Linked DNA regions of Sus scrofa. The protein of the gene in region 6 binds, or shares a complex with, the protein of the main gene of each other region. Links are inferred from orthologs where the notes say so. Each region holds a gene or a part of one and is shown on either strand. Other genes may lie near its edges.

Region 1 (3,010 bases), on a different chromosome or scaffold from region 6:
GCTTATTAAACAATGAAGTAGATTTTCTGAAGATGTAATTAAAACTCCCAAGGCTGGAGTTCGGGGGAGAGGGCTGGACTGAAAATATAAATTTGGGGAGTTCCCTGGCGGCCTGGTATTTAAGGACCTGGTGTTGTCACCACTGTGGCTCGGGTTGCCACTGTGGCACAGGTTCTATCCCTGGCCGGGGAACCTCTGCATGCCCCCACCCCAGCCAAAGAAGAAAATACAAATTTGGGAGATAGTGGAGTTCCTGCTGTGGTGCAGCAGGATCGGCCACATCTCTGCAGCACCAGGCTGCAGGTTCGATACCCAGCCCGGCACAGCGGGTTAAAGGATCCAGTGTTGCTGCAGCTGCAGCATAGATAGCAGCTGTGGCTTGGATCTGATGCCTAACCCAGAACTCCATATGCTGCGGGGGAGCCAAAATAGAAAAACTGGGGGGAGATAGTGATACATAAATGAGTTTACACTCTTTTTTTTTTTTCCAATTTAACATCCTATGTCGTTGCCTTCTACTTTTCTTAACAGTATTTAGTTTCCCCAAAACTGACTCTTACGTTGACAGGATAACTCGGCACAATAGAATCCACCTTCCTTATCAGGATATCAAGACCGTGCATGATCTAGCCCTTGCCTACCTCTTGGATCTTGTGCCACTTTCCTTCCACCATTCACTTACTTTCTAACACTGGCCTCCTGATTGCTCCTCTAGAAGCTCTTTCCGGCCTCTCGGACTTCTTGTGAAAGACTGTCCTGTTTAACTCTTACTCATTCTTCAGAAAGGCCTTCTTTTATCCTTTGCATCACTTAGGCTTCTTTTGGGTGAGCCTGGTCGCAGTTGGCTTAGATGTCAGGAGGTAGGAATGGGCTGGTTGGCGTAGCTCAACAGCCCAGAGCCAGAGTGGTCCCGCTTTCCAGTTGCTTTAAGCCTTGGTGTCTTCCTTGAGTCCTCTCTCTCTTGCATCCAACATCCTCCTTTGGTAAATCCTATTGACTCTACCTTCAAAGAAGTATCCCAGCTCCAATCATTTCTCATCCCCTCAACCGCTGCCACTGCGGTCCGAGTCTGCATCTCTCACCTGGACGATTCCGACAGCCTCTGCAGTGGCCTTCCTCTTCCACACCAGCTGTCCTTATCCCCAGTCGGTTCTCCACACAGCAGCCAGATGGATCCTCTGAAACCCTAGTCATTTGACCTCCCTTCTCTGATCACAATACTCCCCTTGCTCCCATCCCACTTAGAGTCAAAGCCAGAGTCCTCACCATGGCCTGGTAGATTTTACACGAACTATCTCCCCCACTTACCTCCGTGACCTCGCCTCCTCTACCTCCCCACTTCACTTTTTCTTCTCCAGCCACACTGGCCTCTTCGCTGGGCCTCAGACATGCCAGGTACGCGCCCACCTCAGAGCCTTTGCACTCTCCACCCCTTGTGCCTGGAACACACATCCTCCATATGTCCACATGACTCGCTTCTTTGTTTTAAGTCTCTACTCAAACGCTTCTCAGTGAGGCCATCCCTAAGCACCCTAATTCGAATTCCAGCCCCCACTCCTGTACTCCCATATCCTCTCTCATTTAATTTTTTTTTCATTATAATTTTAACCATCTGACATACTCCATATTTTACTCCATCATCTGTCCCCCTTAATGAGAATCTGAGCTCCAAGAGGCCGAGATTTTCGTTTGCTATGTCTGCTGCTATCTCCCCAGTACCTAAAACAACCTGGCATAGAGTAGGCATTCAGTAAAGGTCTTGGAATCAGTGTAGTGCAGATGGCGGCCAGGCATGTCTGCCTAGGAGCAGGCCAGGTAGTAGGGGTCCCACCACCTGCCGTGTGGAAGTCATCCAGGACTTAGGCGGTTCTTGAAGCGGTGAGGGCACATCATCCTCACGGATCCTAAGTGGGGCCCACCTCGCCCTTTCTCGTTTCTTTTCTCCAGGCTCAGCGACAGCCTCACCAAGGACTCCATGAATATCAAGGCCCATATCCACATGTTGCTAGAGGTGAGAGCAGCTCACCCCACTCCCAGACTCTATCTCCAAATATTTAGGGTGGTGTCCTGAGGAAGGGAGAGAGCCAGAGATGGGAAGGGCCATCTTTCCCTCCAAATGAGTCAGACAGGAACCAGGCTGGCTCTGAGGGAAGGGAGTTCCAAGCAAGCCTGAGGTGGGGCCTGGACCCAGTCTCCGTTCAATCTCTTCTGTTCTCTTTTTCAGGGGCTTAGAGAACTACAAGGTCTGCAGAATTTCCCCGAGCCTCGCCACTGACTTCTTCCTACCTCCCTTGACATTAAAGAGCCTGAATGTCTTTGAGTCACGTGGCCCTTCTTTCCCCCATTAACTTCTGCTGTTGGCTAAAGTGCCGTTTCTAAAGCACAATGTTACTGGGAGGCGCAGAGATCCAGTCTGTGTAGAATCTTTAAAGCACCACTGAAGTGCCGCCTCCAGCCTGTTTCCTGGCAGAATGTGCCACCTGACTTTCCGCTCTGCCCTCTCTACCATCGCCTTGGCAACCTGGGCCCCCACCTGACCCTTCTTTCTATTTCCTTTCCTGTGCACTACTGCTTGAATTAACCATAGAGAACGGGCCGATTCAGGGTGGCGGTTTGTTCCCTAAGGCAATCAACCTTTCACTCCTGGCCCTAAAGTTTACCCTTCTCCCACACTCCAATCGTTCCTCAGGTAACTTAAATTACACCCACGCCCGTCTAGGCCCAACCTTGGCCTTGTCCCAGCTTCTAAATAGTTACAGCTCCAGCAATGGGCGCAGGGCCGATCTCGCCCGCCCTCCCTGGTCCGGTCCTCATTCTAGGCTGAATCCAGCTTCCGCCAATCGATACAGAGCCAGGTTCCACCCCTTTATTACTGGCTGCAGCTCGACCCTGCCCTTGTAGGCATTTCGTTTCCACCACTCAACACTCCTTCGCACGTCTGGCAGCTGTCCTGCCCTCCTTCCTCTGCTTCGTTCTAAATTCGTCTTTTCTAGCCAATCGCCACAGAGTT
Region 2 (3,765 bases), on a different chromosome or scaffold from region 6:
GGCAAAAACAGGTAACTTGAACACTACGCAGATCGGAATATATATATATGATCTTGTTAGGGTGAAAAGAAATTTTTTAAAAGAATAGGTAGTATAGACTTGAATGTTGAAGGTAGAACCATGTATTTTAATTCAGGGACTGAACAGTTTGATCATTGGAAAGGACCTGGAGAGGAATAAAACAAAAGTACATATATAAAAATCCATGATTTTATAAATCTTAAAAATTAAAAAAATTTAATTTTTGTCTAATGTTTAGTGCTGCACCTACAGCATGGAGAAGTTCCCAGGCTAGGGGTCGAATAGGAGCTGTACCTGCTGGCCTACACCACAGCCACGAGGGATCCAAGCTGTATCTGTGACCTACACCACAGCTCATGGCAGTGCCGGATCCCTGGCCCACTGAGCTAGGCCAGGGATCAAATCCACATCCTCATGGATACTAGTCGGATTTATTTCTGCTGGGCCACAATAGGAACTCCCCTGCAACTTTCTATGTAATGATGTAATATATAAGAAAGGGGAGGGGAGGCACTAAATTCTGTCTCCATGCCTCCTTGCTGCTTTTAACACTTAAATCCCATAAGCAAAGCGACATCATTACTCCTCATTTTACTTTTTCAGAGTCCCAGGCATCGACTTTGGCCCTCTAAGGGCTAGCTCCTGGCTAAGAGGAGGGGAGTCCATATGCGGACCAATAACCCTGCCCAAAGGCATTCGTCCAGCACCCAGTTAGTGTCCTCCCGCCAGTGCCCAGGCCTGGCGGAAGAGGCCTGTCAGCTAGCAGCACCCTCTGGGCCAGGTACCCAGAGCCTGCCCAGCTGTTGTCACTGAGGGAACAAGAGTCCCAGGACCTAGCCAACCCTTGTGCTCCTTAGGCCAAGCAAACTGGTAACCAAGCCCACAGACTGCTACCCAGGAAGACTGTCACACAGTTTGGTTGTGGAGGTGGTGCCTGGGCCCAGCTATTGAGCAGCTGCGGTAAGGGCTCTGGCGCTCTTTAGGACCCAGCCCTCAGCCTGTCCTCAGCCCCCCAGCTTACCTGCTGGCTGGAGGCCATGGGGCTTGGAGGGCCCTGGGGAGAAGGCAGAGATCTGCTTGTCACTGTACTCTACCCCAAGGACTCCCTTTTGGCAGACAGGACTTCTAAGGGTGTCTCACTAAAGGCCAAATGCTGATAGCTACACACCCACCTCACCCCTACCACTGTATTTTCTGGAACTATACTGCTAGGTTTATCTTGATACTACCACCCAGTGAGTTTGGGCAAGTTACTTGGCCTGTTCATGTTTTAGTTTTCATGTTTCTAGTGTAATAATGAGCCCCTACCTCATAGTATTGATGTGAGGTGAAGAAAATATTTAAATACTTAAGATAGCGTCTGCCACATTATGCAATACGGTGCATGATGACTTGGTACTAACACAGTGGTGCGTTTATGTATGGGTACGATCCATATATAGTGATAGTGTAGTGTGTCCAGCACATTGGTTACCAGTCTTTAGAGCTGTGCTGTCCAGTATGGCAACCATTAGTCACATTTGGCTATTGAAATAAAATGAAATTTTTAGTTTCTTAGCCATGTTTTGAGTGCAGAACAGTGCCCTTTTCTGTTTTGTCATACTATTAGGTGATTTTTTTATTGTATTAAAGCTTTTCCAGTAATCTTTCTCTTTTTTTTGAAAAAAGGAAATATTAGTATTAAAGTGTCTTTTTGTTTCCATAGCTGTTTTATCTTCCTGCCAAGAAGAATGTGGATTCCATTCTAGAGGATTATGCAAATTACAAAAAGTCTCGAGGAAACACAGATAATAAGTAAGAACATAAATGTCTTTGAAGTGTACCCAAGGATATTTCAGACATTTCTAAATAAATTATCTGAAACACGTACTTTAAATCAGTACCATCAGAAATTAGCAAAATAGAATTTCATTGCTTTGACACAGGGCCTTTGGCTGGGCAACTTTTTCTTAAAGGGCTGGGTAAGTAAATGTTCCAGGTAAAAACTGAAGCTATTGTATGTAAGTACATATAGAACCATTTAAAATACAGCTATTTTAAAATGTAAAAACCATCCCTAGCCTGAGGTCTGTAGTCTGCTTTCAGCTGGTTTATTTTTGGAATTGGTTTCTTGTCCTCTTTTTAAAATGTTCAGTAGAGGTTGAATTCCTTTTAGTCCTTTTAGTCCTCATGTTGGTTGACCTCATCCTCATCTCTCAGTTCCTTTTAGTCCTCATGTTGGTTGACCTCATCCTCATCTCTCAGTTCTTTTCAGTGACCTGCTTTGAAAGTAAATATTTTTGTTCATTTATCAGGGAGTATGCTGTTAATGAAGTTGTGGCAGGGATAAAGGAATACTTCAATGTAATGTTGGGCACTCAGCTACTCTACAAGTTTGAGAGACCACAGTATGCTGAAATTCTCGCCGATCACCCCGATGCGCCCATGTCCCAGGTGTATGGAGCACCACATCTACTGAGATTATTTGGTAAGAGGATTTTAAATATTTATGTCTTACCTAATTTATATCCAGGTGTAACATAAATTAACATTTTATCACATTTCAACTTGAGCTTTAATGTATAACAATCTACTTAAGGTCAGTTTCTAAAATGAGTGGTCCCATAATTGGGATATATTGTTATAGTGCTACCATGGATGTAACTCTGACTAAAGTCTTTTGTTTAAATAGTACGAATTGGAGCAATGTTGGCCTATACACCTCTGGATGAGAAGAGCCTTGCTTTATTACTGAATTATCTTCACGATTTCCTAAAGTAAGTCTGAAAGTATGTTTGAAATTAGTTCACTGAACTGAAAGTTATTATGTGATAGATTGACACTATAGATATTATAATAAAACAGTGTGATATTGGTATAGGAGTAGATAGTTAATGGAACAAGTATAAAACATACGGGAAAATCACAAATGATAGAATGGTGTATCAGAGCAATATGCCAGGAGGAAATGATGGAGTACTTAGTAGATGGTGATAAGAACAACTGTCTAGTATTTGGAAGGAAACAGAATTAGATCCAGACTTAATATCGTATACCCAAACTAGGTGAGTCAAAATTTAAATCTAAAATTAAAACTATTAAGGTAATAAAAGGGAAAATGTAGGGTAATAATTGATGATTTTATGTAGTAGGGAAAGGTCTTTCTAAAAATTAAATAATACAACAAATGAATGATGAATTGGACTATGTAAGAAGTTTAAGTTCTATGAAAAAAATAGGCTTTTAAAGATGAAGGGAATATATGTTTACATATATGTTAAAGGGCTGGTATCTTTAACACAGAGTTCTTACTAATAAAAAATTGAACAAACCAGTGAAAAGTTGGACATTGGAAATTCATGGAAATGTCAGTAAAAGGACCACCAAATTATGTTTAACATTATAATTAAAATAACCCTTGTCAGATTGGTTTATATTAAAAATATTAGCGAAGTGGAATAAAGGGCAATTCTGGTTTCTCCAGCTTTTTGGAGTGTATTTTGGCAGTGTATATAAAAATTCTAAATGTGTTTTACCCTTCGACCAGACAGTTACTAGGCTTCTGGGAACTTGAATGTACACACACAAAATAAGAATAATGGTGGGAGTTGCTGGTGGCCTAGCTGGGTTAGGGCTCCGGCACTGTCATTGCTGTTGGATGGGTTTTGTATACTGTGGGCACAGCCAAAAGACAAGTATCAGAGTGACCTTAGATGTCAAGTAGTAGAGCACTTTTATAAAGAAATTTGGTTCAAGAGAGGCTAT
Region 3 (4,331 bases), on a different chromosome or scaffold from region 6:
CTTGTTTTTGGCATGGCCAAAGGGGGGAAAAAAGCATATAACAACACAGCACATACTGTATAATACTAATTTTATAAAATTAAATATGTAAATTTGTAATACACACATGCCATCTCCTTCCATCTATTCACACATACACAAAAACATAAGGAGGGGTGTTCCCTGGTGGTGCAGTGGGTTAAGGATCCAGCACTGCCACAGCTTCAGCTGAGGTCTAGACTGGGGCTCAGATCTGATCCCTGGCCCGGGAGCTCCATGTGCTTCAGGACAGCTAAAAATGGGAAGAAAAAAAAAAAAAAATACATTCAAAAATGGTAAGGATAGTTATTTCTGGATAGTAGGATCATGGATAATTTATTTCTTATTTTGTAATTTTTCTTGTGTTTTCTACATTTTCTACATTAACGTGTATTATTTTACATAATAAGAAAAAAATCAGTAGTTCCTGCTGTGGTGCAGTGGAAACAAATCTGACTAATATTCATGAGGATATGGGTTCCATCCCTGCCTTGTTCAGCAGGTTGGGGACCCAGCATTGACATGGCTGTGGCTGTGGTGTAGGACCAACAGCTTTAACTCCAATTTGACCCCTAGCCTGGGAACTTCCATATGCCAAGGGTGCAGCCCTAAAAGGCAAACAAACAGACAAAAAAAAAAAAAAATCAACAGTATAACATGTATCATTCTATGACACCCTCACTGCTTATGTTAAAAAGTCCTAAATTCTTTGTCATGCAATGACTCAGCTTGTTTTAAGGACATCTTTCTGACTCATGATTTAGCAAAACAAATCAGTCACTGCACTCCATCTCAATCTATGCTTTCCCAGATCTCCCCTCCTTTCTTGATTCTCTATATTCTATTTCTACTGCCACCTGTTCCAATCTATCCAATCCTTCAGGCTCAGCTCAAATATCTCTAATATGATCATGGTACAAATAGAAAAAATAGGCCTGTCTAATTCACAAGTTCTGCATTTAAAAGCCCTGCTCTCCCAGTTACTGACTCTGAGTAAGTTAATTAAGTCTGAAACTCATCCTGACAATAATACAGCTACTTCAAATAGCAGTAATTAAATAACAGAAGATAAAACAAGTGCCTAGTTTGATGTGTTATTTGCTTCCATCTTGCCTATGTGGCTCAAATTTGCAGCAGTGACAATTATAATATTTTTTTTTACCCAGTGTTCTCTCTGGAACAAAAAGGTCAGAGAATATTAAGCAAGGAATGGCCTCAGAACTCAATTATCAAAATTCTTCAGTCTCTTTTGAGTTTCTTTTTCTCTACCATCACTTAACTATTGATTTCACTCTTATTCTACTTCTTTGTTCACTTTCTGTGCAAACTCTAGAGGATTTCCTCCACAACCATGGCTTTGTCCACTATCCATAAACTCATAATTCTCTAATCTGAAAGTAACAGTGAAAGGTAGAAATGTAATTCAAACACAGATCTGTCTGAACCCATTGCACTCCTTACACTCTTAGCCACCCCACTTTTCCACACTTCCCTTTACCACCCAATCCCCAATCTCAATCTCCTGCTTAGTTAGTTAGGGGTCCCTCCTCTAGCAGAAGGCCCAGTGAGGACACAGAGAACAGACCTGTGGTTGCCAAGGGGGAGAGGGGAGGGAGTGGGATAGACTGGCAGCTTGGGGTTAGTATATGCAAACTATTACATTTAGAATGGATATATGCAATCTCCTGGGATAGACCATGATGGAAAATAATATTTTTAAAAAGAATGTACCTATAGGTACCACTGAGTCACTTTGCTGTGCAGCAGAAACTGGTAAAACATTGTAAATCAACTATAATTTTAAAAAAGAAGAAAAAGCCCTGTGAAGAACACTGTAAAGCTTAATGTTTGGTTTCTTTTTGCAAATGAGTCTGTGAGCTAACCTGAAAACAAGGTTACAAGGCCGTATTTCATTTATGTTTCCCCATACCCAGCAGAATGTCTAACACACGGCAGACCCTCAAAAAGTATTAGGTTCCTTCTCCCTTGCCTTTTTCCCCCTAAGAGGAATTTTCTCTTCCCCCTTCCCCCAAATCCCATAGGGCTGTATATCTCTCTTCTACCTCATACTAGCATTTTCCCCTCCAGACTATGAACTCTGATTGCACGGGTCAATTTTTAAAATCTTTATGCAGATACCTCTGCTACAGTAACTGTTTAACAAATAACTGATAAATGAACCTATAACCAAAAAAGCTGTTGTTTTAACTACGTTTTCCTTTCTGTTACGCAGATTTCTTCCCACTCCAAGTAAACACTAGATCCACTATTAGTAAATCATGATTCCCAAGCAACAAAGGGCTTTCTGATTATTTTTCAATCGTTTCCGGATGCTAGGCACTGGGGAAATGTAAGCTCGGATTAGTAAAGGATTTCTGGTCTCTAAATAAATTCAGTGCAATAATGACTCCCGAATCAAAATAGTATGGAACACTAGACTATTCGCGTATGTGAGTCACGTGGCTCTGCGGAGTGACGACGGTTTTAAACGTGGTTTCAGGGTCACGTAACAGACTACACAATCAACCCGTTGACTAACTCCCTGGGATTCCTTATGAACTGGCCTTGCTCACCCACAGCCTGTTTGAGAGTGCGGAGGCAAAGTGGGGAAAGTGACCACCCTTCTTCCCTCAGACCTGTGCAACCTCCCAGACTCTGCTTCCCTAGAGCTTCCTCCCTCCCACCCCTCGGCTCACCCAACACCCCCAAGGGGGCGTGGCTTTCACCTACCAATCCGCCTATCTCTCCCCAAGGGCTCGGCTAGCTTCTACAAGGACCTTCCCCTCTCTGGGTGGCCACGCAAATGTGCGACTATAGTAAAGGCGTACACCAACCATAGGCTTCTCCCCTCTTCTCGCATCGACTCCGGACCCGGCCGGGTTGCCCTCCTTCGCATTCCCAGCTCCTCACCTGCTCGGCTGACACCGCCCCCTTCCCCGCGCCGCTCCCGCTGCTCTTGCCGGCGCGACTGCTGCTCTCCGCCATCTTCACCGCCTGCTGAGCTTCCGGCCTGCGCAGCTCGGCCCCCGCCTTGCGTCACGTCCGGTCTCGGAGTTACCGCCCACTCGCCCCCGGCGCCAGGCTCCTCTTCTTCCAGGCCCCTGTTCGGTTCGGATCCTGTTAATGGTTTTGGCCGTGCCTTCATGTAGGACCTGCTACCTAGCCCGCCCGCCGCGGTGAATTACACCTGTGGTGCTTTATCTTGTGCAACAGAGACGCTGCCCCTGAGAGAGTCTCCAGATGGGTTAACTGGAGAGCGGGGCGCGGGTTGGGATCTGGGTGCCAGTGCCCTCTGCCCACACAGCGGGTGGTGAGGCACGGGCGGCGGGGTGGGGTAGGGTGAACTTCTCAGAGATTCTGGTGGAAGGGGGAAAATATGCTTTGAGTCAGTAAAACTGTGCAGGTGCACAGTCAATAAGAGAGGCTGGGAAAATCAAGGAAATATCTCGAGGATGACTTTTGAACTGCGGAAACGTTTGGCTGAGAAAAAGGACTTCAGTTTAATGTGAGATCACTGGAAGTCGAGATATTCGAATGCTGCGCAGAGCCCTTTCCTCGATTTTCCCACTTTGTGCTCTCTTCCGGTAGCCGTGATTAACCATAGTTAACGAGTGTCTTAAAGACTTAGGGGTTTTTACCGGTGGTGCCCAGATTCAGCCTCACAGTATGAAGAGAGAAACCAAAGGATCTTAGAAATGTATTGCTTGATGGTGGGGTTGGTGTCCTGATTTCTCACCTTCTTCAGGCTGGGCTTCATCATCAGGCCTCCTCACCAGCTCCTGTCCCTTCTTTTGGGTCCTCGGCTCCGGATACTTCGACTCTCAATACTTTGTGCTCAGCCCAGGTAACATGTTTTGTTGTGTCCTCAGTGCCTGGCACATAGTAGATGCTCAATAAATGAATAGATGTTGGGAAACATTGGGGTGCCAGCCACTCACAGAACATTTGATCAGTGGGTCCTTATTGCATGGATCATTGTGCCTTGTAAGAGCAGGTTTAAAGGGAAGTCTAGCTTTCCTGCCTCCCCCTTTAAGCCCCTTATCATTAAACTCGGGCTTCCCCACTCTAGGAAATCTGAGTCTTGCCTGTGCCATTCACAGACCCAGATCCATGGCTATTTCCTCTTCCTCCTGGGACTTGCCCCTCGTGGCTGTGTGCCAGGTAACATCCACACCGGACAAGCAGCAGAACTTTAAAACATGTGCTGAGCTGGTTCGAGAGGCTGCCAGACTGGGCGCTTGCCTGGCTTTCCTGCCTGAGGCATTTGACTTCATTGGAAGGGACCCTGAAGAGACGCTACGCCTGTCTGAGCC
Region 4 (4,390 bases), on a different chromosome or scaffold from region 6:
CTTTTTTGATGGTAGCCTAGAAGGTCAAACAAGGGGACAGGAAAGGACACAAAATAAAAAGATATGAGATGAAGGTTTTCTTCTCCATCAATGCATTTTTTTCACACACAAAGGACACCAAAGATGACAAATAACGTACAAGTGTTTTTTCCTTTCTTATGGTTACATTTTCAAATTTACCTTATTTCTGATAAACTAATTTACCCTGATTTCTGATAAACTAGTTTGTTTTTGCCTTTAAAAAATTTTAATTAAGGATAATTGCAAATGGATAAAAATGTAGAGGGAATAATATTATAAGCCTATGCGAATCTATCCTCCAGCTTCAACAATTACCAACTGAAGGCCATCTTGTTTTATCTATAACCCCACCCACTGCTCCCCCCCCACTCCGTTTTTTTCAAGCTCAGTGAATAGCTGACTTTCTGTATTTTATTATGGAAAATTTCAAACATATACCAAGAAAGCCAGTATAATTTAAGAAATCATATATGCCCATCACTCAGCTTAAACGATTAACTTAGGGCCAATTTGGTTTCATCTATACCCCTCCCCACGTCCCCCTACCGCTGAGATTATTTTGAAGCAAATCATAGATATCAACATATTTTGAAGCCAATCTCAGACATTTTACTATTTAATCCGTATTTTCATATATATTGCTACAAGCTAAAGACAATTTGAAACCATAACCACAATACCATTTTAACGTCTAAAACATCGTCATCAATTTCCCCCAAAAAATCGAATTTGAATACGACTTCAAAATATCCCGATGCATCTTAAACAGTTTTTTAAAAAAATATAGTTAATGTGTCCGAATCAGGATCCAAACAAGGCCTACTCATCGCATGTGGTTCATCTCCAGCTCGCTCATTCTCCATCTCTCCCCACCCCCATCCCCCCCGCCGCTTTTTTTTTAAACTTTTCAATATGGAAAATTCCAATCCCCGCTATTTTGAGGCAATTCCCAAATAAACTATTCCATCGGTAAAAACTGATACGTCTCTTTTATATCTCGAATTTCTTCTAGGGGAGGAGATGATGGGCAGGAAAAACACTATAATGAACGACTTTACATAATTTATGTTTTCTTTCTCTATTACGCGTTTTTTTCTCTCCATAATAACAGCTAATATCTTCCGGAGTCAGGCTTCATATTAAGTTATTAAGCGTATTATATTATATTACTTTGCATTCGTTAGTTATACGCACTAATATACAGCACACGCCTCTGAGGCACACGTCTCTGAGGTAGATACTATTATTATCACCATTTTACAAACATGGAAACCGAGACACAGAAAGAACGGGAGCCAGCCCAAGCTGGGCGTTGGCGAGTAGGCATTTGAATCTAGCTCTGCCTGATTGTGAAGCCATCAGTTAATCTTGTCTATATACGCAACGATAAGAGGAAATCGGCAACCCTTTCTCCCCACCCCCACCCCGAAACCTGAAACGAGAATCCAGTTCTTTCCAGCAGCCGACGTGTGATCACTGCCGACCCTCCAACCGCCATAGTAAAGCCAGGTTTCTCTGGCAACTGATATCCATAGGCAGACACGTCACCCTGGAGGCGGGCTTACGCCCTCTAGCCAATCACAATCGTCTTGCCTAAGTTTTAGAATGTTCCATAACCAAATGATTGGTGGAAGCCCACCACGTCAGCAATGACACTTAGCCGCAGTAAAGGCGGGTGCTAGCAACCTGCTTCTTCACGGTTAAGACTTGAGGAAAACCAATCACCTTCCTCCTTTAGTGCGGACTGTGGCCAATGACGTTCGCCCTCTTAGGTTCTTAGCCCGCCCCCCAAAAGCGCGACAGCAGTTGGGTCATAAGTCTATAGGGCAGGGTGTTCACGTGGCCTATTTTCACGACCCAGAGTTCCTCTGACCAGAGGTTTTTTCTTTTTTTTTTTTTCTTTCTTTCTTTTTTTTTTTTTTTTTTCCTGCAGGGAGGCATTATGGGTTTTTTTTCCACTGGGAAAGGAAGTGTCTACGTGGCCTGCGGAAACAGGATGGGCGGAAATGAGCTAAAGTTCCCGCGAGTGGGGAAGCGCGAGGTCAAATCTGGGGCCACGCCCCCAACCTCTTGCGCAACTCTTGGAGAAAAAAAAAAAGGCAGAGTGGGGTTTCGGTGTGTATGCTGGTGGCGGGTGGCGGCGTGCTGCGGCCGTGTGGTGTCAGGGCCACGGCGTTTGTGCGCAGGCGAGCCCGCGTGGCCTTGGGGATGGCTTATGCGCGAACGCCAGGCCTCGTGGCGTTGGAGGCGGGTGTGCGCAGGCGTGCGCCCCTAGCGTTGGGGCCGTTGTGTGTCGCCGAGCGGGTGCGTGCGCCTTCGTGTGTGTGTGTGTGTGTGTGTGTGAGTGTGTGTACACGCGCGCGCACGGATGTGTGCGGGGGCGCGCGCTCTGTAAGAATCGTTTTCTACTTTCGTAGGTTTGAATATTGTTCTGATGAAAAGGAAAATCATTAAATAGTTAAGGCAAGGCGACCGTAACTAAGATAAAGGGTCTTTGCTAGGGATATTTCGATCTCTCATCGATTTAATTTTAAACCCTAAAATTACACTTTCTTCCCACGTTTTTTTCCGTGTCAAAATCCTGTATTAAACCCTAGCCCTCCAGTGGTTAAAAGCCGAACCTTCCCGTTCCTATATTAGCAATTCCACGAAACAGTTTCTTTCCTGTTCCCTAATAACCTTCTCCCCACCTCTTACCCGCTCCCTCCCCTCCCCCCTTCCCCAAGTTTTGTACAATTCTCTTGGCACAAACAATTTTCTGCAGAGAATATCTATATACAACAGACTTCCCCTCCACTAGGGACTCCCAATTTCTGTAGGAGTTGAGGCTCTCTTACCTTTCACTCCTGATCTCCAAGCAGTGTGCTCTTCAGGCAAGTACGCGCTCAGTTAATTTTCCAGAAAGTTCTCTGGATGAGGTTTATACCTTTTGCATCTGCCACTAGATGCCGCCAAATTCCATCAAAGGATTGGCTGTTTGGTCCCTGGAATTATGGGATTCCCCCCCCCTTTCTGATTTGCTGAACTCTTCAATCTATAGAAATCACTCATATATATTTCATTGCTGGGGAAAAATCAATTTAATTTCTGTTAATTGCTCTATCAGGAGACTATGGCCCTAGATACAAATGTTTTACCTCATTTCCTTATTAAAAAAAATCACCCCTCCCATTCTTCTTTCTTTCTTGCCTTTTTTTTTTTTTGCCAGGGGTGGGCAGTCAGAACTGATGAAAGACTTGAGGTACTGGTGCTGATGAAGATTGGAAGCGTCTCTGGGGTTAGGATCTTCACTTCAAGTGCTTCCCTCACCCTTACCCACCCCCACCCCAAGTGAAAATATAGATGGCTTGTTTAGTTAGTAAAGACATACATCTTTACTGGACTTGGACCCAATTACTGAAAACTGATTTTCTTTTCCTCTTGAAATTATGATTAGGTATGTGTTTCTACCCTGTTTTCTGTAGTGGTACTGGTAAACCGTATTATGTTTTTGGAGTCAAAGACCTGATTTTAAACCTTACTCCACCATTTACTAGTTCTGAGGCCCTGGGATTTATATGCTGTGCTTTCAGGTTTTTTTTTGCATGCCTTCTGTGTTTTAGGTAGTGTTACCATATTCTTCACACAGATATTCTTTTCTTCTTCACAAAATCCTTATTAGATGGATACTAATCAAAATCAAACAAAAGTTGTACCTCTTTCAGTTATAGATCCTATACATGTGTGCATGCACGCAGGTATGCGCTCATAAATACGCACACATACACCCCCCCCCCCCCCCGGGGAATGGGTGAGGTTTAGAGCAGAGGTTCTCAAAGTGTGTTTCCCAGACTCACCGGTAGCATCATTATCACCTTTTGGGAAGTTGTCAGAAATTTATAGTCTCAGGCCTCACCTCCAACCTAACCAGTCAGAAATTCTAGGAGTAGGGTTTGGCTTTCTGTGTTACGACAGATAACAAACTGTTCTGGTTATTCCAGCGCACACCGAAGTTAAAAAGCACTGCTTTGAAGAGCAGAAATAAAATGCTTATTTTTGTACACTCCACTAGAGGGTGCTGCAGAATGTAAAGCCAAAAAAAAAAAAAAAAAAAAAAAAAAAAGTACATGTTCTATTGAGACACCCTGCATGTTCTCTGTCCCGTTTCACAGATTAAAAATTATTGTGTAGCAGAGTCAATTATTTTCTCAAGTGCATACAGAAGTACAGGAACCAGGATTGAACTTTACCTGCCCCTTGAACTCAAGCCCTTGCCAGTACTCTGTTATTCAGCCAAAACAGCTTGTCTTTCAGGGTCTCAAAATACATTACAGATACCTTGTTTTCTGCTTTGGCTACTGTTGATTAGAGCATCAAGAAGAGGGCAGGG
Region 5 (4,553 bases), on a different chromosome or scaffold from region 6:
GGAAAGAGCACAGGACCAGGGGGAGGAATACGCCTGCTGTGTTCTAGAAACCCTGGGAGGTCAGTGTGGCTAGAGTGAAGTGAGTGGGGTGAGAGAAATGCTGACGGGCTGAATGGGAGAAGAGCAGAGGTCTTCTTGACTTCAAGGTTTTTGGTCTGAGAAACTGAATGGACCAGCTCATCAGTGAGGGAGAAGAAAGAAGGTGGGAGGAGAAACCAGAAAGGCAGATCTGGAGTTCAGTTCAGGACATGCCCCTGGTACATCCAAATGGGGGTGTCGAGTAGGCAGAGAAAGTCGAGGGAGATCTGGGCTGAAGATACAAATTTGAGAAACCTCAGAAACCTGGGAGCGGCCTTAAAAAGCAAACAAACAAACAAACCAACCCATTCTTAGTACATTTGCTGTAGGAAAGCTAGCAGAGGGTTGGATTTGGCCATTTTGCCTATCTGGCCCTTTCCTTCACCTGGTGCTTTTTTTCTTCTTTGAGGGGGCTTTCTCAAAACACTTATCATTATTTAATAGACTAGATAATTTATTTTTTAACGCTATTAACCAGGTGTTACCTATGCCCCTCTTTTCCCTCCCAACCTCCAAGAAGGTAAGCTACAAAAGGAGGGAATCCTTGGGAGTCCCCATCATGGCTCAGCGGTTAACGAATCTGACCAGGAACCATGAGGTTGCAGGGTCGATCCGTGGCCTGGCTCAGTGGTTTAAGGACCCAGTGTTGCCTTGAGCTGTGGTGTAGGTCGCAGACGCGGCTCGGATCCCAAATTGCTGTGGCTCTGGTGTAGGCCGGCGGCTACAGCTCTGAATCGACCCCTAGCCTGGGAACCTCCATATGCCGTAGAAGCGGCCCTGGAAATGGCAAAATGACAAAAAAAAAAAAAAAAAAAAAAAAAAAGGAATTCTTTATTTACTGAGGTATTCCAGGCTCCTAGAACAGTGCCTGGTACGTGGCAGGTGATTTACTACACATTTGTTGAATGTATGCATGAATGATGTATTACTCCTGTAATTAGCAACCTACTATACAAAACAACAAACCTACAAACCTTCCGTGAGTTCCCAACCCCAAGGAGTTAGGGCCACAAACTTGGCGAGGGTTTTAAGTCCCTCAAGTCCCACCCACTTCTCCAGCCCCTCAAACCCTCAAGACCCGCCCCAACCCCCAGCCGGGCACGCGCAGTTCACTCCCCGAGACGCATCCTGCGGCCACTAGGAGACGCCCAAACCCGGCCGCCGGCGAAGCAAACACCAGTCCCACGTGACCGGCGTCGCACCCGGTGAGCGTCACGTGACGGACTCAGTTTTCCTCCAATCGTTGTGCACGTTGTGGGGATTCCACCGAAGACCTGGTTTGAGACTTACAGTACCCTATTCCCCCGCCAGCCAAACGGGCCGGCTCCATGAGCAAGCTGGGTTGCGGGGTCTCTCCAGGGTCCTCTCCTGAAGCCGGTTTGGAGAGACCTGGGCCTACAAAGTGCTCGGTCCCGGAAGTGACGTCTCCCAGAGGGGCCGGAAGTGGCAGTGGAGGGAGGGAAGATGGCGGAGGTGGTGAGTCCGGTGCCCGGGGCGGGGCGGAGGGAGCCAGGGGAGGTGGGTAGAGCCCGAGGCCCCCCAGTAGCCGACCCTGGCGCCGCGCTGTCTCCCCAGGGGGAGATAATCGAGGGCTGCCGCCTGCCCGTGCTGCGGCGGAACCAGGACAACGAAGATGAGTGGCGTGAGTGACGTCGGGGGGCGGGGCTAAGGAACCTGAGGGCGAGGGGCGGGGGGAGTCAAGCGAACCCCAGGGAGGGGGAGGGGCCTCTAGAATCTTGGGGCGGGCGGGGCGCAGATATTCACGAGGGGCGTGGCTTTTAGCCGCTGGAGATGGACAGGGCGGGGCTTGGAGAAGGGAATGACACTTGGTGACTAATGGGGGCTTGGGCGAGAGCTTCCAAGTGCTGAGGCTCAGGGATCGGGCCTGGAGGTGGAGTTCAGGTTGTAGAAGGGCGGAGCCTCATGGCCTGGCCGCTCTAAGGCCGTTCCCTGTGCTGTGCCCACAGCCCTGGCCGAGATCCTGAGCGTGAAGGACATCAGTGGCCGGAAGCTTTTTTACGTCCATTATATTGACTGTGAGTTCTGGGCCGGGATGAGGTGGGGCTAGGGTTGCGGGGGGCAGCCTCTGGCACTCCTTCCTGAGCCATCCCCACTGCTGCAGTCAACAAACGCCTGGATGAATGGGTGACTCATGAGCGGCTGGACCTAAAGAAGATCCAGTTCCCCAAGAAAGAGGCCAAGACCCCCACCAAGAACGGACTTCCTGGGTCCCGCCCCGGCTCTCCAGAGAGAGAGGTGGTGAGTAGGTCCCCTGCTTCAACTTTTCTCTCCTGCCTCCTACTTCTCTCATCTCTTGGCCTCAGTGGCTCCCAGCTGGGCAGGAGGCTGTGCCCTCCCACCCTGGCTTCAGCTCGCAAAGGATGGGGGCCAAATTGCAGATGTAGCTTCCAGAGTCCAGCGTCCTTGAGAGGGGCGGGGTTTGATCATTACACACTGAGGGGCCCCTACTCCCCTTCCCCATCCCACCACCATCCCCACCCCAGAGGAAGACCCTGGACCTATCTCTACAGCCGGCCTCCGCCCAGGCCAGCGGGAAGACCTTGCCAATCCCGGTCCAGATCACACTCCGCTTCAACCTGCCCAAGGAGCGGGAGGCCATTCCCGGTGGCGAGCCCGACCAGCCGCTCTCCTCCAGCTCCTGCCTGCAGCCCAACCACCGCTCAACGGTACCCTCAGCAATTCCAGGGACCTTGCTTTCCTCTCAGGTCCCACCTTCCCTACCTTCTGACCCACCTTTCTTGGTTTCTCTTCTGCAGAAACGGAAGGTGGAGGTGGTTTCACCAGCAACTCCGGTGCCCAGCGAGACAGCCCCGGCCTCAGTTTTTCCCCAGGTGAGTCCCCCAAACCATCTCTTTTTCCCTCCCCTTCTACCTTCTGGTAGCCCCTTTCAGGTGCATCTCACAGCTACTCCTTTTTCTTTCATCTCACCTTCAGAATGGATCAGCCCGTAGGGCAGTGGCAGCTCAGCCAGGGCGGAAGCGAAAATCAAATTGCTTGGGCACTGACGAGGTGGGTCTGGGGAAGAGGGAAGCGGGGTGAAAAGTAGGGGACAGGGGGTTCCCTAGGTGGGTAGCAATTGGAAATCAGTGTGCGCTCACTGCTGTGCCCCTGGGTTCAATTCCTGGTTTGAAAACTGAGATTCCCACATCAAGCCACTGCATGTTGTAGCTAGGAAAAAAAAAAAAAAAAAGGAGTGGACGTAGGCAGGGCAGAGAGTTCAGTGACTCGTTGGAAGATGAACAGAGTGTGCTGGGTTGAGGTGGTGTTGGGATTAGGAGTGAGGCAGAACTGGTTCAGATCAAGCATTGGGTCATCTTTTCCAGTTTCCAATGAAAATTGTCCAAGTCTTGGTTTCTTTAACTGGAAAGTAGGGGTTATGGTATCTTCCCCACTAGGAAACCCGTGGGAGGGCTGTGAGCCAGAGAGTGTCCTGCTTGAGTTGTCTCCTGTAACCTGGCGTCTTTCCGTGGCCCCGGGCAGGACTCCCAGGACAGCTCAGACGGAATACCCTCGGCTCCTCGCATGACTGGGAGCCTGGTGTCTGACCGCAGCCACGACGACATCGTCACCCGGATGAAGAACATTGAGTGCATCGAGCTGGGCCGGCACCGCCTCAAGCCGTGGTACTTCTCCCCGTACCCGCAGGAGCTCACCACCCTGCCCGTCCTCTACCTCTGCGAGTTCTGCCTCAAGTACGGCCGAAGCCTCAAGTGTCTGCAGCGTCACTTGGTAGGAAGGGTCCCAGGAGGCCGCCTTCCTAGCACCCCTGCCCTGCCCTGGCCCTGCCCCTGATTCTCCTCTCCTTCTCAGACCAAGTGTGACCTGCGACATCCTCCAGGCAACGAGATTTACCGAAAGGGCACCATCTCCTTCTTTGAGATCGATGGTCGTAAGAACAAGGTCAGTGGCTCAGGGGCCGTGGGGAGTCTTTGGTGCAGGGAGTCAAGTGAGTGGCCTTTTCCAGCTCAGGAAAGCACTGACCATTTTGGCTAACAGATCTATTCACCCCATTTATTCACTTAGGGCAGGTGTGGGAGATACAGAGTGACCAGCAATTAGACAGGATCTCTGCTGAGGGCTCACAGGAGAAGGCAGACATGCTAGGGGCTTCTTAGATCCTAGCGTGATACATGTCGTGAGACAAAGTGTGAGTTATCAGGATCCAGAGGAGGGGACCTTTGAGCCTGGGTAAGGGGGGTACAGGAATCCGAAACCATGGGTTCTGAAGGGGAGGAATGGATGGCTCTGCAGGTTCAGTTCCAGACCAGAGCAATGAAGCAAATATCATAATAAAGCAGTCACACAAGTTTTTTTGGTTTCCAAATAAGATTTATACTTATACTACGCTGCAGTCTATTACATATATAGGAGTGTCGGAGTTCCCGTTGTGGCACAGTGGTTAACGAATCTGACTAGGAACCATGAGGTTGTGGGTTCGGTCCCTGCCCTTGCAC
Region 6 (3,754 bases):
TCCACCACAGATCCGGGTGGATTACTCAGGGCCAGGCCCACAGAAGACAGGAGGTGGCACCGGGACGGCAGGGTGGCCTGCCCCTCTAGGCAGAGGCTGGGGAGTTGGAGTCAGAGTGGGGCCTGTGGGTGGGAGAACACAGAGGGTCCCCTGGACACCTGAGTCTGGGGTCTGTGGGGTACTGAGGGGGGACCTTGGGGGAGGGCTGGGCCCCAGGTAGACACCCAAGCCCCGCCCCCACCCCCTACAGGTGCGGGTGCTGCCGGCTGCCCTGCCACCCGTGCCCCAGCCGGTGTGCACCTACCGAGAGCTGAGCTTTGCCTCCATCCGCCTCCCTGGCTGCCCGCCTGGCGTGGACCCAACGGTCTCCTTCCCCGTGGCTCTCAGCTGTCACTGCGGGCCCTGCCGCCTCAGCAGCTCTGACTGTGGGGGTCCCAGAGCCCAACCCTTGGCCTGTGACCGCCCCCTACTCCCAGGCCTCCTCTTCCTCTAAGGACTCCCGGCCTCAGCCTCCCAGGCCCACAGATGCTCCCCCCCACCAATAAAGGCTGCTCCACCTGCACTCTGGGGTTGTCTATTCTGGGGGCTGGGGCGTGTGAGCACGTGCGTATGTACACACCTACACCCACACCCACACAGTGGGCCCAGTTTCGGAACCATTTTATACAAAGTCACGGTGTCAGAACTCTGGTAGAAAACAGGGGAGGTGGGGGAGAGGGTGACGTGGGCTCAGGAGGTGTCCATGGTCTCGCCTTCTGTGGGGAGAAGGAAGGCCAGGTGGTCGGTGTGGCCCAGAGGGCAGGGCCCGAGCTCTCCAGGCCGGGCTCCCCTCCCTCTGCGGGCCGGCGGGCGGGCGGCGGTGGGCGGCGGGGCCGATACTCACTGAGCTCGTTGAAGAGGAAGGCATCCTGGTACTCCTTCATGTACTGCGTGGATCGTGACTCGTCCAGAAAGAGCGAGTAGACCCGCTTGATGTCGTCCACCTGGACCTCCGTGCCCTGATGGGGGTGCCAGACCTCAGAGGGGGGGCCCCCCCGGGGCGGGAGCAACGACTCTGGGGCCAGGTCGCCTGGGGTCAAATCCCAGCAGGGCCACCGCCCGGCCACGGCCCCCACCTCTCCACCCCTGGTGTGCTCATCTGTAAAAGGGACTTCACGGCATCGGAGTGCAGCCAATAGCTATTCAGTCGGCGCCTCCCGGCGCCTCCCGGGCGTCCGGCCAGGAGACACAGCAACCAAGCGCAGAGACCGGAAGCTCCCTGCCTCTGAAACCCAAGTCCTAGGACGAAAGGCTGTGGCCCAGGGAAAGCCCTGGGACCAGCGGGCCCTCCACTCACTGCTCCAAGCCCCCAGGGCGCCCTCAGCCGCTGACCTTGCGCTTGCGGCACACCAGGCTGGCGGCTGTAATGAGCTGGATGGCGTAGCGCAGGGAGGTCTCCAGCCCGATGCGGGTCAGCACCGTGTAGGCGTCTTCGCTCATCTCCACATCCTCCTCCTCGCACCTATGGCGGGGGCGGCGGTCAGCCAGGGTGCAGACTCTGCCGCAGAGCCCTCCCCCAAGGGGCGCTGCTGCACCTCCTGGGGCCACGTGGAGTCTCACTCTCAGAGGCACAGGATGCTGAGTGCCAAGGGCCGCTGAGGCACCGGCTGAGCCTAAACCTGGGGTGGGCCTCCGGACCCTCCCACTCCTGGGCTCCCCCTCACCTCCCCCAGCTGTGTCACCAACACCCCCCCGCCTTTCTCCAACCCTCACAACCTCCTCAGAGGCCACTGCTTCGATGCCCAGCCCAGCAGGACTTCTGGCGGGCCCAGCCACCTCCCCTTCAGACCTCGGGGTCCCCATGGGCCAAAGAGGGTGGACACCAGCCCCACCCGCACCGGATGCGGAGGATCTGCTTTGTGTCTTTCTCGCTGTAGGGGGAGGTGGAGACGATGAGCAGTCGGTCCAGCAGATCGATGGGGATGCCATGGGGGCTCTGGTAGCTGGTGCCCCGGATCCTGGGCAGGAGGGGGAAGGGAGGGCGGTCAGGGTGGTGCTCTTAACAGCCCGGCTCCCCATTCCCCTTACCCGGACAGCCCTCCCCACCCCTTCCGCCATGGCCCACTCACTGGGTCAAATACCACTCGCTTGGCCTTCAGCTCCCGGCCGGCTGGCGTCACCGCCTGACAGCACAGCCGGCCCCTGACTGCATCCCTCCCCCTCTAGAGCTGGGCTGGATTTAGCTAGAGATCTATGTCTGGGATTAGCGGCTCAAGGTCCCGCTTCTCTGCTTGACACAGAGCTCCACTGGCACAGTCCTGTCCCCTGCTGCACATGGCAGGTGCCAGGAAACAGCAGATTCCTTTTTTTTTTTTTTTTGGCTACACCCGAATCATATGGAAGTTCCCCGGCCAGGGACTGAACTTGAGCTGCAGCTGCAGCAACTCTGGATCCTTAACCCACTGCACCAGACTGAGGATCAAAGCCACGCTGCTGCAGAGACAACACTGGATCCTGAACCCACTGCACCACAGCAGGAACTCTAGCAGATTCCATAGCAACACGGGCTCAGCTCAGAGCCCCATCTGCGACCTACACTGCAGCTAATGGCCTGAACCCACTGAGTGAGGCCAGGGATCAAACCCACATCCTCATGGATAGTAGTTGGGTTCTTAACTTGTTGAGCCACAAGGGGAACTCTGTCAGGAATTTTTCCTTAGCATCCTTGGGCCAAGGGGAATAAGTTTTGTTCTGTTTATTCCTAAGTAGTTGGATCTAAGTGACTTAATTGGAGTGGTTTACAGAGCACCCGACTCATGTCACGAGGTGTCCCTCAAACATTTGAAAACACCCACAGCACTCCTGTGTTCTCTGCAGCACCCCGCGTGCCTGCCTGGGCACACAGTTTGGAATCTGTAACCTTGAGGCCTCTGGGAACAAGAAAAGACAGAGCATGCTGGGTCCCAGAGCGCCTGTGCAGCTGGGCACCCACCAGCCCCGAGCGCTCGCCTGCTTTTGTTTGAGGGAAAGTACGCCAGCCGCCCGGGCCCCAGCGCCCGAGGGCAGCCCACTACAGCAGCGCAGCTCCCCAACGAGGTGCTCCGCAGCCCTGGCCTGTTTAACCCTGTGGCCTTCCTGCCACCCAGCACGCCCGTTCTCACCGGGTGATGCCGCGGTTGGTGGCCATGATGAGGACAGGTGCCATGTCACTCTCCAGGGCCCGGTTGAGGAAGGAGAAGCTCTCGATGTCCAGCATGTGGACCTCGTCGATAAACAGCACCTGGGGGCCATCGGGGGGGGGACATGAAATCCACCTCCCGCGCCCCCTCTTCTCCTGCGAACCCCCGCGGGCCGCCTGCCGTGGCCTCGGCCAGGTACTCACGCCAGGGATGATCTCCGCCTTGCCCTCCTCCCGCCACTCAGCCACCTTGGCGTTGATCTGCTCTCGGACTTCTGACTTGATCTCCCCCGTGTCACCTGCCGGTTGTGGGGGGTGTCAGAGAGGAGACAGGGATCCAGGGCCGGAGGCGGGACGATGACCCAGAGAGATGGGAGGCCGGGCACAGAGGGAAGAGAGACCCAGACTGGAGTGGCTACGCGACATGAGGGCCGGGGAGTCGGAGGGGCCCCAGAGAGGAAGAACAGAGGCAGAGGGGGTACAGGGGCGCCCCCGTCAGACCACCTGAGAGAAGGACTCAGGCAGGAGTGGGGAGGGGGCAAACCACACACCGAAGGAGAAAAAGATACAGAGGAGACGGGGACGCCATGGGCACTG
Region 7 (4,201 bases), on a different chromosome or scaffold from region 6:
AACCTCCATATGCCGTGGGAACAGCCCAAAAAAATGGCAAAAAGACAAAAAAAAAAAAAAAAAAAAAAGAGTTATCAAGCCACAAGAGAAGGTAAGAAAAAAGACAAAAAACCCAAGCCCAAAACAGTTAATAAAATGGCAATAAGAACACATATATCGGAGTTCCCGTCGAGGCTCAGAGGTTAACGAACCTGACTAGTATCCTTGAGGACACAGGTTTGATCCCTAGCCTTGTTCAGTAGGTTAAGGATCTGGCATTGCCGTGAGCTGTGGTGTAGATCACAAGATTCAGCTCAGACCCTGCACTGCTGTGGCTGTGGCATAGCTCTCACTCAACCCCTAGCCTGGGACTCTCCATAAACCGCGGGCGGGGCCCTAAAAAAGCAAAAAGAAATAATGTCATTTGCAGTAACATGGATGGACCCAGAGATTATCATATTAAGTAACCTAAATGAAGTAACACAAATACTACATGGTATCACTTATATGTGGAAGATAAGACATAACACAAATGAGCTGTGAAACAGAAAGACACATAGAAAACAGATTTGTGGTTGCCAACGGGGAGGGGACTGAGGGATTTTGGGATTAGCAAGCACAAACTCTTTTTTTTTCTTTCATGGATCCTAGTCGGGTTCATTAACCACTGAGCCACAAAGAGAACTCTCAGATGCAAACTCTTATATGCATACGGTGGATATACAACAAGGTCCTACTGTACAGCACAGAAAACTATATTCAATATCCTATAATAAACCATAACGGAAAAGAATTTGAAAAAGAATAATTATGTGCATGTAACTGAATCGCTTTACGATACACCAGAAAAGAACATAACATTGTAAAACATAATTCAATAAAGTAAATCTTAAAAGTGCCCTCTGGGTCTGCTCAGCAGGCATTTTCTGCACTCTCCCTTGCCTGGAGGCACACCAGGGTGGGCCCCCAAGGTGCTTGTGACCCAGCATGGTCCCCTACCTTTGGGGTTGAGAGCCAGGCTGCCTCAGTGGAGGCACTACATACAGCAGAGAGGCAGAAGGATGAGGGGTACAGACTGCGTGTCAGGGCAGGTGGCTGCTGCTGCCCTGAGCAGGCCCTCACCTGGGAAGAAGACGAACATCTGGTCGGTGGGGTCGTCATTATGGGCCACCAGCACCGTGAGGTCTGTGCGACGCGGCCGCCCTTCACTGGGCTTGTCCCCAAACTGGGCCTTGAACTCCTCCAGCGTCTGGTCCAGCTCGTCCTGGGTCACCAGGTAGCCACGGTCGTGGCAAAGCTGCAGAGAAAAAGAATCAGGTGACCAAGGTGCAGAGAGAACAGCAAAGGCTCAGGGTGCTCAAGGCCACTGCAGGGAAGATGGGAGCAGGGCTGGGATGTGAGGAGGGCTGTTGATTCCAAGGCCAGGCCCTTGGGTCTGGGGCAGAAAAGGACAGCTGTCTGGGAGAGGTGCTGCTGGGCTGCCTGGGGCAGAAGGCTATTGGAAAACCAGGCCAAGGCCTGGGGGCCAGCAGATCTAGGTCCTGACTCAGAAACTGGGATTCTTTGAGTGGACAGACCGGATGACCACCCAGACAAAGAGAAAGCCACCCACTCTGCCGGAATCCCCTTTCTTCAGCCAAGTACCCCACAGCTGGACTCTCCCTCTTTTTTTTTTTTTCCTCCCTTTTTGCCATTTCTTGGGCCGCTCCCACGGCATATGGAGGTTCCCAGGCTAGGAGTCTAAACCGAGCTGTAGCCACCAGCCTACACCAGAGCCACAGCAACGCAGGATTCCAGCCAAGTCTGTGACCTACACCACAGCTCACTGCAACGCCGGATCCTTAACCCACTGAGCAAGGCCAGGGATCGAACCCGCAACCTCATGGTTCCTAGTTGGATTTGTTAACCACTGAGCCACAACAGGAACTCCCGGACTCTCCCTCTTGAGCGCTCACTCTTCTCACCCAGGGCCCGCGACACGGTCAGCCTGAAGCAACGCTGTTCCTACCCTGTCTTTGGGTAGCACTGCAAGGAGGTGGAGAATATGGGTGCCACTGCCCCAGCTTAGTCCAGGCAGGATCCCCGCCGTGGCGAGGGTGGGTGGTCTTAGTCAAGGCCCGAAGCCTCCGTGGGATCACAATCGCCCCCTCCCGTGGAGTAGCCTAAAGCACGTGGCACACAGAGAACGCTTAGCTAGGGAGCTGGCATGACTTGGAGCCTATCAGCCCGAGTAGCTCAAAGTTGGTGGCCAGGGCGCGCTGTCAGGGCAACCAGACAGCATTGAGACCAGCTAACCAGGGATCCTTCCATATCCACAATCCTGGAATACTGTATCAGGCCCTCAAAACAGTGCCATAACTTTCCGGAAAGAGGAACACGCGAGGCCAATTCCCTCCCTCCAGCTCCAGCGAAACCCTGACCCTCTCCCCGGCGTCTCTCGGACTCGCCACTCAGCAGTGGTCGGCGGGGCCCCTCTGTCCCCGGCCCAATACGGGCCCCACCTGGGCCAGAACCTTCCCCTGAGCCGCGCGGCCAGACATAGAAAAGCTCGTTCCCATCTTCGGGCCTCGCGCTGGCCGTCCGCGCGCCGGACAGCGTTCGCTTAGTACTAAGGGCAGCCCCCGCGCGTCTCACCTGCATGATGGTCTTACGGATCTTCCAGAGCCGGTATGTCTCCTCCTCGTCGTCCATGGCTGCCGCCCCCCTCGAACTTACAGCGCCTGCGCTCGGCAAGACCCGTGCCCACTGCGCCTGCGCCGCGCCGCTGTCAGGCCCCCTCCACCTCGCCCAACCCTTACAGGGCTGTAGTCAGCTAAAGCCTGAATGCAGCGACCTTTGGGAGGGGCAGAGCCAAGGGCAGCCCGAGCCTTACTAAAGCGGCGGTTGGCTGCGCGAAAAGAGGGCAAACACCACTCACCCGCTCCTCGGTAGATCTCGCGTGGTTTTGAATGCAAGGCCTCTCTGGAGGCGTAGTTTCTGCTCAACGCCCGCCTAGGGAGGACGTTTAGAATCCAGCGAGGCAGATTCTTAGCAACATGGATGGACGTAGAAACTATCATGCTAAGTGAAGTCAGCCATACAATGAGACACCAACATCAAATGCTTTCACTGACATGTGGAATCTGAAAAAAGGACAGACTGAACTTCTTTGCAGAACAGATGCTGACTCACAGACATTGAAAAACTTATGGTCTCCAGAGGAGACAGTTTAGGGGGTGGGGGGATGTAATTGGGCTGTGGGATGGAAATCCTGTGAAATCAGATTGTTATGATCATTATACAACTACAGATGTGATAAATTCATTTGAGTAATAAAAAAAAATTAAGGGGAAAAAAAAAATCCAGCGAGGCAGGAGTTCCAGCTGTGGGGCAGCGAACTAAGGATCCGTCGTTGTCCCTGCAGTGACTGGGGTCGCTCGCTGCGGAGGCGCGGGTTCGATCCCAGGCCCAGTGGGTTAAGGATCCAGCGTTGCCACAGCTGTAGCACAGATCACTCTTGCGGCTTGGATTCAGTCCCTGGCCTGGGAACTTTCATATGCTGAGGGGGTGCAGCAAAAAAAAAAAAAAAAATTCAGGTAGGCAGAAGCAAGGGGAGACTGAGGCCTTGACAGGGTCTTGGGTACGCTCGGTTCCCAGGATGTTCGTACTTACTAAGAGATGGTTCGTAGGTGTTTGTGTGATCAACTGCAGGGAGTTTTCTCAGTTGACTCAGGGCCATGTCCAACTTAATGCCCTAGATCCTCAGTTATCCACTTTGTACAGTGGAAATAATAAAGTGTCCCCGTCTTAGAGGATTAGCTGAGGACCTAAAGGGATTGTTAGCTTGGGAGGAGCTTGGCATAGCTCCCACTGCTTATGAAATGCACTCATCTCTGTTTTCCTAGTCCCCTGAGGCCCACCCCAGCCCCTGGATACCCCACAGCCCCCAAGATTGTGCATGTTTTTACAACCTCCACATCTGCCCACACACACACATACACCACCCCGGTTCATACAGGAGGTTTGCCCAGCCCAGTGCCCCTGTGTCAGTGGAGGCCATCAGTAACTTCTCACTCGGTAATACATTTATTCAATGATTCAATATTTATTTATTTATTTGTCTTTTGTCTTTTTTTTAGGGCTGCACCTGCAGCATATGGAGATTCCCAGGCTAGGGGTCTAATCAGAGCTGTAGCCACTGCCTACGCCAGAGCTACAGCAACACCAGAATCTGAGCCGTGTC

What was found.
Region 1: RUVBL2 (region 6) and UXT share a complex: the UniProt entries of both Homo sapiens proteins name them as parts of the PAQosome complex. The link is inferred for Sus scrofa from reciprocal best matches to the Homo sapiens genes RUVBL2 and UXT.
Region 2: RUVBL2 (region 6) and MORF4L1 share a complex: the UniProt entries of both Homo sapiens proteins name them as parts of the nuA4 histone acetyltransferase complex. The link is inferred for Sus scrofa from reciprocal best matches to the Homo sapiens genes RUVBL2 and MORF4L1.
Region 3: RUVBL2 (region 6) and PFDN2 share a complex: the UniProt entries of both Homo sapiens proteins name them as parts of the PAQosome complex. The link is inferred for Sus scrofa from reciprocal best matches to the Homo sapiens genes RUVBL2 and PFDN2.
Region 4: RUVBL2 (region 6) and MORF4L2 share a complex: the UniProt entries of both Homo sapiens proteins name them as parts of the nuA4 histone acetyltransferase complex. The link is inferred for Sus scrofa from reciprocal best matches to the Homo sapiens genes RUVBL2 and MORF4L2.
Region 5: RUVBL2 (region 6) and KAT5 share a complex: the UniProt entries of both Homo sapiens proteins name them as parts of the SWR1-like complex. The link is inferred for Sus scrofa from reciprocal best matches to the Homo sapiens genes RUVBL2 and KAT5.
Region 7: RUVBL2 (region 6) and POLR2E share a complex: the UniProt entries of both Homo sapiens proteins name them as parts of the PAQosome complex. The link is inferred for Sus scrofa from reciprocal best matches to the Homo sapiens genes RUVBL2 and POLR2E.

What each region holds. Positions count from the first base shown.
Region 1 is NC_010461.5:42,175,452-42,178,461, reverse strand, and holds the end of UXT (protein UXT), read left to right. Parts: intron 1-1,947; coding exon 1,948-2,011; intron 2,012-2,224; coding exon 2,225-2,275; 3' UTR 2,276-2,320; downstream 2,321-3,010. UniProt on the Homo sapiens protein: Involved in gene transcription regulation. Acts in concert with the corepressor URI1 to regulate androgen receptor AR-mediated transcription. Together with URI1, associates with chromatin to the NKX3-1 promoter region.
Region 2 is NC_010449.5:48,070,455-48,074,219, forward strand, and holds part of MORF4L1 (mortality factor 4-like protein 1), read left to right. Parts: coding exon 1-11; intron 12-1,726; coding exon 1,727-1,815; intron 1,816-2,315; coding exon 2,316-2,488; intron 2,489-2,692; coding exon 2,693-2,777; intron 2,778-3,765. UniProt on the Homo sapiens protein: Component of the NuA4 histone acetyltransferase (HAT) complex which is involved in transcriptional activation of select genes principally by acetylation of nucleosomal histones H4 and H2A.
Region 3 is NC_010446.5:89,325,512-89,329,842, reverse strand, and holds the start of PFDN2 (prefoldin subunit 2), read right to left. Parts: upstream 3,063-4,331; 5' UTR 3,004-3,062; coding exon 2,929-3,003; exon of another isoform or gene 2,786-2,928; intron 1-2,785. Other genes in the region: NIT1 (nitrilase homolog 1), read left to right, coding at 3,142-3,194, 3,764-3,862, 4,119-4,331. UniProt on the Homo sapiens protein: Binds specifically to cytosolic chaperonin (c-CPN) and transfers target proteins to it. Binds to nascent polypeptide chain and promotes folding in an environment in which there are many competing pathways for nonnative proteins.
Region 4 is NC_010461.5:84,563,307-84,567,696, forward strand, and holds the start of MORF4L2 (mortality factor 4-like protein 2), read right to left. Parts: upstream 2,999-4,390; 5' UTR 2,859-2,998; intron 1,735-2,858; exon of another isoform or gene 1,454-1,734; intron 17-1,453; 5' UTR 1-16. UniProt on the Homo sapiens protein: Component of the NuA4 histone acetyltransferase complex which is involved in transcriptional activation of select genes principally by acetylation of nucleosomal histone H4 and H2A.
Region 5 is NC_010444.4:6,569,194-6,573,746, reverse strand, and holds the start of KAT5 (histone acetyltransferase KAT5), read left to right. Parts: upstream 1-1,527; 5' UTR 1,528-1,542; coding exon 1,543-1,720; intron 1,721-2,045; coding exon 2,046-2,114; intron 2,115-2,200; coding exon 2,201-2,337; intron 2,338-2,609; coding exon 2,610-2,765; intron 2,766-2,855; coding exon 2,856-2,930; intron 2,931-3,033; coding exon 3,034-3,108; intron 3,109-3,579; coding exon 3,580-3,828; intron 3,829-3,909; coding exon 3,910-3,999; intron 4,000-4,553. UniProt on the Homo sapiens protein: Catalytic subunit of the NuA4 histone acetyltransferase complex, a multiprotein complex involved in transcriptional activation of select genes principally by acetylation of nucleosomal histones H2A and H4.
Region 6 is NC_010448.4:54,260,382-54,264,135, reverse strand, and holds the end of RUVBL2 (ruvB-like 2), read right to left. Parts: intron 3,457-3,754; coding exon 3,362-3,456; intron 3,260-3,361; coding exon 3,141-3,259; intron 1,998-3,140; coding exon 1,878-1,997; intron 1,502-1,877; coding exon 1,372-1,501; intron 999-1,371; coding exon 884-998; intron 756-883; coding exon 730-755; 3' UTR 644-729; downstream 1-643. UniProt on the Homo sapiens protein: Possesses single-stranded DNA-stimulated ATPase and ATP-dependent DNA helicase (5' to 3') activity; hexamerization is thought to be critical for ATP hydrolysis and adjacent subunits in the ring-like structure contribute to the ATPase activity.
Region 7 is NC_010444.4:77,329,355-77,333,555, reverse strand, and holds the start of POLR2E (DNA-directed RNA polymerases I, II, and III subunit RPABC1), read right to left. Parts: upstream 2,802-4,201; 5' UTR 2,671-2,801; coding exon 2,614-2,670; intron 1,277-2,613; coding exon 1,102-1,276; intron 1-1,101. UniProt on the Homo sapiens protein: DNA-dependent RNA polymerase catalyzes the transcription of DNA into RNA using the four ribonucleoside triphosphates as substrates.